Saccharomyces cerevisiae S288C: one gene and its partner. The main gene of each other region encodes a partner of the protein of the gene in region 2 in a complex. Each region holds a gene or a part of one and is shown on either strand. Other genes may lie near its edges. A codon is read from its position in the direction of its gene.

What was found.
Region 1: the proteins of DCN1 (region 2) and CDC53 are in contact, whole or in part, in a crystal structure (PDB 3O6B), measured with the Saccharomyces cerevisiae proteins. Residues at the interface, in NP_013229.1 of Saccharomyces cerevisiae: Asp181 (codon at 2,459), Ser224 (codon at 2,588), Asp226 (codon at 2,594), Arg229 (codon at 2,603), Met230 (codon at 2,606), Leu233 (codon at 2,615), Arg237 (codon at 2,627), Glu250 (codon at 2,666), Thr251 (codon at 2,669), Ala252 (codon at 2,672), Ala253 (codon at 2,675), Trp254 (codon at 2,678), Pro255 (codon at 2,681), Phe256 (codon at 2,684), Ile257 (codon at 2,687), Asp259 (codon at 2,693); in NP_010150.1 of Saccharomyces cerevisiae: His767 (codon at 4,109), Val786 (codon at 4,166), Ser787 (codon at 4,169), Lys790 (codon at 4,178), Arg791 (codon at 4,181), Asp794 (codon at 4,190), Ile797 (codon at 4,199), Gln798 (codon at 4,202), Arg804 (codon at 4,220), Gly805 (codon at 4,223), Asp806 (codon at 4,226), Asp807 (codon at 4,229), Gly808 (codon at 4,232), Glu809 (codon at 4,235), Tyr811 (codon at 4,241).

What each region holds. Positions count from the first base shown.
Region 1 is NC_001136.10:222,494-227,374, forward strand, and holds CDC53 (cullin CDC53), read left to right. Parts: upstream 1-1,810; coding exon 1,811-4,258; downstream 4,259-4,881. Other genes in the region: SRF1 (phospholipase D regulator), read left to right, coding at 1-1,247. UniProt on the Saccharomyces cerevisiae protein: Core component of multiple cullin-RING-based SCF (SKP1-CUL1-F-box) E3 ubiquitin-protein ligase complexes which mediate the ubiquitination and subsequent proteasomal degradation of target proteins.
Region 2 is NC_001144.5:396,706-400,196, forward strand, and holds DCN1 (NEDD8 ligase DCN1), read left to right. Parts: upstream 1-1,824; coding exon 1,825-1,827; intron 1,828-1,921; coding exon 1,922-2,728; downstream 2,729-3,491. Other genes in the region: APC2 (anaphase promoting complex subunit 2), read right to left, coding at 1-1,614; snoRNA-binding rRNA-processing protein DIP2, read left to right, coding at 2,952-3,491. UniProt on the Saccharomyces cerevisiae protein: Required for neddylation of cullin components of SCF-type E3 ubiquitin ligase complexes. Neddylation of cullins play an essential role in the regulation of SCF-type complexes activity.

The DNA of each region.
Region 1 (4,881 bases), on a different chromosome or scaffold from region 2:
CAGATCAAAATCAACTTAATTTAAACGTGGATCTTGAAAAAAATCAAACAGTAAGGAAGTCAGGTTCACTGGAAGCATTACAGAATGCAAAGATACATGTTCCCAAACACAGTGATGGTTCACCACTAGACTATCCAAAATTAAATACTTACACGTTTGTGCCTACCACAGTGCCGCCTTATGTTTTAGAGGCGCAGTTTGATAAATTAAGACTTCAGGATAAGGGCACCGTTGATGGAAATGTTACCGATGATAAAAATCTTCCAAAAGAGTTTAAATGGGGCCAGTTTGCATCTACCATCGGCTGTCATTCTGCATACACTAGAGACCAAAACTACAATCCTAGTCACAAATCCTACGATGGTTACTCTCTATCATCATCTACCTCATCAAAAAATGCGGCTCTTAGAGAAATTTTAGGTGACATGTGCAGCGAGTGGGGAGGTGAAGAACGACTAGAAGGTGTTCTACATTCAGAAATAGGTGCCAATTTAGAGTTCAACACGACAGAAGAGAGAAAAGAGTGGTTACAATATATCGAAAAGGTAAAAGATTTCTATTACGGTGATAATAAGAAGAACCCAGAATCACCCGAATCAGTACACAACAAAGTTTACAAGTCAGATTGGGTAAATGAGCTCAATAAAGAGAGAGAAAAGTGGCGGAGGTTAAAGCAAAGGAAGTTACAACAGTGGAGACCTCCTTTGACGTCGCTATTACTTGATAATCAATATTTGATTTTGGGTTTGAGGATTTTCACTGGTATATTATCGTGCATTTCACTTGCTCTGGCAATCAAGATTTTTCAAAACTCAAGATCAAATAACACCATCAGTGAAAGTAAAATCGGGCAACAACCAAGCACCATAATGGCCATCTGCGTCAACGCCGTGGCGATTGCGTATATTATTTACATTGCACACGATGAATTTGCTGGTAAACCTGTTGGTTTGAGGAATCCGTTAAGCAAACTGAAACTAATTTTGTTGGACTTACTTTTTATAATTTTTTCAAGCGCTAATCTAGCGCTGGCATTTAATACTCGTTTCGACAAAGAGTGGGTTTGCACTTCTATTCGCAGGTCAAATGGAAGCACGTATGGATACCCAAAAATACCGCGTATCTGCAGAAAACAGGAAGCTTTATCCGCTTTTCTGTTCGTTGCCTTGTTTATGTGGGTAATCACTTTCTCGATCAGTATTGTTAGAGTAGTCGAAAAAGTCAGTTCAATTACCAACAGAAACTGAGCTCGACAAATATAGAAATTAAAAGAATTCTTTTAGATACCAAGATTGACATTTATATGCATTGTATATTTTTGACTTAAAAAATTACTCCGGCTTGGCATTTATTCATTAACGGCGGGTTTGATTATATTAGGCTTTGTGCGATATAATATGTATTACCCGAAGGGAGGGCTATTGCACTTTCTTTTCCTTTCCGTTTTAAGGGCCCTTTTTCATTTCGATGTTTGATGGACACACATGAAGTGAAATGTGGCAAATAGAACATCTAGAAAAACTAGGGCATTAGGTAAAGTACCCCAGCAGAACTTCACTTTACAACGCAATTGATTCATATCACTGCTCTTTTATATTGTCCTTTTTCTCTTTTAGAGCTTTTCATCCGCATCTTCTAACTTCTGTGCACCCCTTTCATTGTTGATTACATTTTACCTCAGTTACACATTTCTTTTAGCAATTCGACATTGCTTCTACTTACCGATAAATAAGCGTACATTTTTGAGTCTTGAAAGGATTCTTACATATACCTAAACAAAGAATAACAACAAAATCGCAAGCAGCAAAGCATGTCTGAGACTCTGCCTAGATCTGATGATTTAGAGGCCACTTGGAACTTTATAGAGCCAGGAATTAACCAAATACTGGGTAATGAGAAAAACCAAGCATCCACGTCTAAGCGAGTTTACAAAATTCTTTCTCCAACCATGTATATGGAAGTCTATACCGCAATTTATAACTACTGTGTGAACAAATCACGCTCGTCTGGACATTTTAGTACTGACAGTAGAACTGGCCAATCAACAATTTTGGTTGGCAGTGAGATTTACGAAAAGTTAAAGAATTATTTGAAGAATTACATTTTAAATTTTAAGCAGTCTAATTCAGAGACCTTTTTGCAGTTTTACGTCAAGCGCTGGAAAAGGTTTACAATAGGTGCCATTTTTTTAAACCATGCATTCGATTATATGAATAGATATTGGGTTCAAAAGGAAAGAAGTGACGGCAAAAGGCATATTTTTGATGTAAACACCTTGTGCTTGATGACATGGAAAGAAGTCATGTTTGATCCGAGTAAAGATGTTTTAATAAACGAATTATTAGACCAGGTAACCTTGGGAAGGGAGGGGCAAATAATTCAAAGAAGTAATATTAGCACTGCCATAAAGTCTTTAGTTGCACTAGGTATCGATCCACAGGATTTGAAAAAGTTGAACCTAAATGTCTACATCCAAGTTTTCGAAAAGCCATTTTTAAAGAAGACTCAGGAGTACTACACGCAATATACAAACGATTATTTAGAGAAACACTCGGTAACTGAGTATATTTTTGAAGCACATGAAATCATCAAACGTGAGGAAAAAGCAATGACAATATATTGGGATGATCATACAAAAAAACCACTATCCATGGCATTAAACAAGGTCTTGATCACAGACCATATTGAAAAGTTGGAAAATGAGTTTGTTGTCCTTCTGGATGCCAGAGATATTGAAAAAATTACTTCTTTGTACGCACTAATACGCAGAGACTTTACATTAATCCCAAGAATGGCTTCAGTGTTTGAAAATTATGTTAAAAAGACAGGTGAGAATGAAATTTCGAGTCTACTGGCAATGCATAAACACAATATTATGAAAAACGAAAACGCAAACCCTAAAAAACTAGCACTAATGACAGCTCACTCCCTTTCTCCTAAAGACTATATCAAGAAATTACTGGAAGTACACGATATATTCTCTAAGATTTTTAATGAAAGTTTCCCCGACGACATACCTTTAGCTAAAGCTCTAGATAATGCGTGTGGTGCTTTCATCAACATCAACGAGTTCGCATTACCTGCTGGATCTCCAAAAAGTGCCACCTCGAAGACTTCCGAGATGCTAGCTAAGTACAGTGATATACTATTAAAGAAGGCCACCAAACCTGAAGTGGCAAGTGACATGTCAGATGAAGATATTATAACAATATTCAAATATTTGACCGACAAAGATGCGTTCGAAACTCATTATAGAAGACTTTTCGCCAAGCGTTTAATTCATGGCACTTCAACATCAGCAGAAGACGAAGAAAATATTATTCAAAGGCTGCAAGCGGCAAATAGTATGGAATATACAGGCAAGATAACTAAAATGTTTCAAGATATTAGACTTTCCAAGATCTTGGAAGACGATTTTGCTGTCGCCCTGAAGAATGAACCAGATTACTCTAAAGCAAAATATCCAGATCTACAACCATTTGTATTGGCAGAAAATATGTGGCCATTTTCATACCAAGAAGTTGAATTTAAGCTACCCAAGGAATTGGTACCATCTCACGAAAAATTGAAGGAGTCATACAGCCAAAAGCATAATGGTAGAATATTGAAGTGGCTATGGCCATTATGTCGTGGCGAATTGAAGGCAGATATTGGAAAACCCGGCAGGATGCCGTTCAACTTTACGGTAACACTGTTTCAAATGGCAATTTTGCTACTATATAACGATGCTGATGTATTAACCTTAGAAAATATTCAAGAGGGCACGAGCTTAACCATTCAGCACATCGCAGCGGCAATGGTACCATTCATCAAATTCAAACTGATTCAACAGGTCCCACCAGGGCTAGATGCTCTCGTGAAACCTGAAACACAATTCAAGCTATCACGTCCTTATAAGGCGCTTAAGACCAATATTAATTTCGCTAGCGGAGTCAAAAACGACATTCTGCAATCGCTATCCGGTGGAGGCCACGATAATCACGGTAATAAGTTAGGAAACAAACGCTTGACGGAAGACGAAAGAATAGAAAAAGAATTGAATACAGAAAGGCAGATTTTCTTGGAAGCTTGTATTGTGAGAATAATGAAAGCGAAAAGAAATCTGCCACATACAACATTGGTCAACGAATGCATTGCGCAATCACACCAAAGGTTCAATGCAAAGGTTTCTATGGTCAAGAGAGCCATCGATAGCTTAATACAAAAGGGATACCTACAGAGGGGAGACGATGGTGAATCGTATGCTTACCTTGCTTAATCATCTTTGAAGGCTTGTGCTGATCGAACGAAGCAAATCCTACGAGTAAATACATAAGCGTATACATATATATATATATATATATATATATATATATATGTATATATATATATGTGTGTGTGTGTAATTGTGTGTATTCAACTGAACTATGAAGAGTCTTTGACCTCTTGAGAATCTCATAGTATGAAGATATGGCACTTCTCTTTCCGTTGTAACATCCTTTACCGGGCGGCTTTTCGGCCTGCTTGAGAAGAGATCAGGCTGAAATGATGAGACTGACAACAAGGATCAGTCAGTGGCAGAGTTGAAATTCCGCTGGAAATCGTCACCAGCAGCTACCAGCTCCAAGAAATCCGCGTAGAAATCACGTCGCGCAATGTGCGATAGTGGTGGAACAGCGAAAATTAGTCACTTTGCAAAGATGCCAAGCTGATCGTTCTCGTTGTGTGTGATTCTACGATATTGCGCATGAGTGGTGTTGAGCATGCGTTTGTTCGCATTTTCATGCAGTCTCTTATATACTAATATATATATGCAACAGATTTCAAAATTTATCTTTCTTCTTGTTGCGTTTAGGCCTTTATTTGCTACACATTTAAAAGTGCAACGACAACCCAAGTAAT
Region 2 (3,491 bases):
TTCTCTTATTAATTTCAAACATCGGGTCCATTTTTCATCCAACGTATAAAATTTCAAAGTGAATAATCTGTCGGTTAAGAGATTTCGAAATTCTGATATGAAAAATTCTCTTGATTCAAATAGATCCAAAAGCACCTCAAACAAATTTGTCTTAATATAACTTGATTTGATGTTACCGGGAATCATGTCATTAGGCTCTGGTACCCAAGCTATATAATAATTGAGTATATGTTCGTATAGCATGGCGTGTCTTATTGGTAGGTCCTTGTTCAATTCCCTCTTTCCTTTCACCTTGAGGTTCCATAGAAAGGGGCTTTTTTTATTCTTGTCCCTTTTGGTGATGTTCGTATCTTGATTGATATCAGAATCGTGCAAAGTGTCTACAAGTGAGAGCAGTGCCTTCATATCTACATTGAAATTAATTTTCTCCTTTAGTTCTTCTTCAGGTAAGTCCAACATTGCGTATAACAATACATTTACTAAGTGCTTCCGCTCCTGAAAGTAAGGTTTAACAAACGTGGTTATTGAATGTAGGCATCTCCCTGTTGGATCCAGGACCAAAAATGCTTTGATAGTTTTAACATATCTCAACAAAGCGTCCACCGTAGTTACGCTGGGGTTTAGAATGTATTTCTTGAAATCAGACAAAAAAGTTGTTACAATATTTGTGTAGTCTTTAAAATCTTTCATAATTTTCCTCAATTCCAATAAAGTAACCTTTGAATCAGGATAAGCCAAAACGCATATATCAAAGATTTCATTCGTTCTTATCCTAAGAAAATTGGACTCAAAACAGTTGAAAACTGTAGTGGTCAGTTCGTGATCATCCTCTGGACAACCGACTAATTTAGAGAACTGAGACCAATATTGATTAATAAATTTGTTGAATGTTTCCATAATCATAAACCTTTTATTCCATACTCTACTCATGTTATCTTCACAAAATTTATTGATTTTGCTGTAAAGAGCATTGACTATCAATTCCGTAGAGGATAAGGAACCATTAGCAGATTTGAGCCATTGGATTAAATTGTCTGCCAGGTCGAAATCATCATCCATTATTAATTTGTCTAATCTTGTTCTTAAATTATTTTTGAACTTTATATTTCTATTCAACAGATAATGTCTTAAAGAATTAAGTTCAAGTGCCCAGTCGTTTACATTTACGTCAAAAATAGGAACGTAACGTAAAGGAAACTCGTAATAATTTTCCCATCGTTGGATATCTTTTAGATAATTAATGTTGTTAAAATGTAAGAAAAAATGATAACGAACCTGGAAAATATAAAACTCTTTGAGCGTGGAAAAAAGTTGTAGTTGTAACTCTTTGTTTGTATTTCCCTCATTAACTATTGAATTGTTTGCCTGACTAGTGTTTATCATGCTATATGGCGATGTGGTTGCGTTATTAGGGAAGAGAACCTTAATGATATTCTTAATACGAAGGCTTGGAGGACGTAGTTGATGGTTACTCTTGGCATCATTAGGGCTCATCCATGTAAGTAAAGAGTTCAAATCATCGACTATGTTTGTGTGAAAGATGTATGAGGAAAGTGTTTGTAACTCATCTGTAATAACTTTCAAATCTCGAGTTGGGGTAATCTGAAATGACATGATGGAAAAACCTTAACTATAAGCCATAAATATTTACAGTCCCGCTAAGTCTGGCTTTCGTCTAGTTTTCGATATTTTGGCTCTTTTGTCTATTACTGTTTTTGTAACCAAAGGTTTGAAAATTTAGATGCAACTAATGAACTTACGCAGTAACATGCAAGTACCCAATAAAAAAAGAAATTTTTGAAGAGACGTTCTTGCATTCAGGACATGGTATGTTTTTAATTTCGTTTCTTTAGTTCTCAGGCTCTTCAAAGTACTAACACTTTATTGGCAAGGGGCGCTCAAATGTGATGCATCATTATAGAGTAATAATAAAATAAAAAGAAAGGATGCAAGCCCGGAACAAGAGGCAATTGAATCATTCACCTCATTAACCAAATGTGACCCCAAGGTATCCAGGAAGTACCTGCAGCGTAATCACTGGAACATCAATTACGCTCTCAATGATTATTATGACAAGGAAATAGGGACGTTTACTGACGAGGTTTCAACTGTGGCTCATCCACCCGTATACCCGAAGGAGCTAACACAGGTATTTGAACACTATATCAATAACAACTTGTTTGATATAGACTCACTGGTCAAGTTCATTGAGGAGCTAGGCTACAATCTTGAAGATTTAGCGACATTATGCTTAGCCCATTTACTGGGGTACAAGAAACTAGAAGAACCCTTAAAACGAGAGGACTTCCTGTCAACATGGTTTATGCAAGGCTGTTCCACCATTTCAGACATGCAAGAGTGCATCAAGACGTTAGATGTTAAATTACATGAAGACTTACAATATTTCACACAGATTTATAACTATGCTTTCAATTTGATTCTGGACCCAAATCGAAAGGATATAGATACAGACGAAGGCATCCAGTATTGGAAGCTATTTTTCCAACCAGAGTACCCAGTGCGTATGGAACCAGATTTGCTTGAGGCATGGTTCCGTTTCCTTCGCGATGAGGGGAAAACCACTATAAGTAAAGACACCTGGCGTATGCTGCTCCTCTTTTTCAAACGATACCCCACTATTCAGAAAATAATAAGCGATTACGACGAAACTGCAGCCTGGCCATTTATTATCGATGAGTTCTATGAGTGCTTACAGGATCAGCAATAAACATCCTTTCATATACTTAAGGGTATGCTGTTTAATATTGCATGGAATACGTTACCCTTCTAAGATAGATGGGAATAAGGCGGAAATAAAAAACGCGATGAGCAGTGGAAAATTTTTCAGAAATTTTCAGTTCCCTCATAATATAGATGTAGATATTGTATAAGGTCGTACGTATATCAGAGTAGCCACTAGAAGGACCAGAGAAACTGGAATAAGAGCTATTATGGTCAAATCATACCAACGTTTTGAGCAAGCAGCTGCTTTTGGTGTAATAGCCTCCAATGCCAATTGTGTTTGGATACCTGCGTCATCCGGAAATAGTAATGGTAGTGGACCAGGACAATTGATTACGAGTGCTCTCGAGGACGTTAATATATGGGATATTAAGACCGGGGATTTGGTCAGTAAATTATCCGATGGCTTACCTCCAGGCGCATCTGATGCTAGAGGCGCCAAGCCAGCCGAGTGTACATATTTGGAGGCTCATAAAGATACGGATTTATTAGCTGTCGGTTACGCAGATGGTGTCATTAAAGTTTGGGATTTGATGTCTAAGACTGTGCTTTTGAATTTTAACGGTCACAAAGCAGCTATAACATTATTACAATTTGATGGGACTGGCACAAGATTAATTTCTGGTTCCAAGGACTCCAATATCATTGTATGGGATCTTGTTGGAGAAGTTGGTCTTTATAAACTTAGATCACACAAGGATTCCATTACTGGCTTTTGGTGTCAAGGAGAAGATTGGCTGATCAGCACC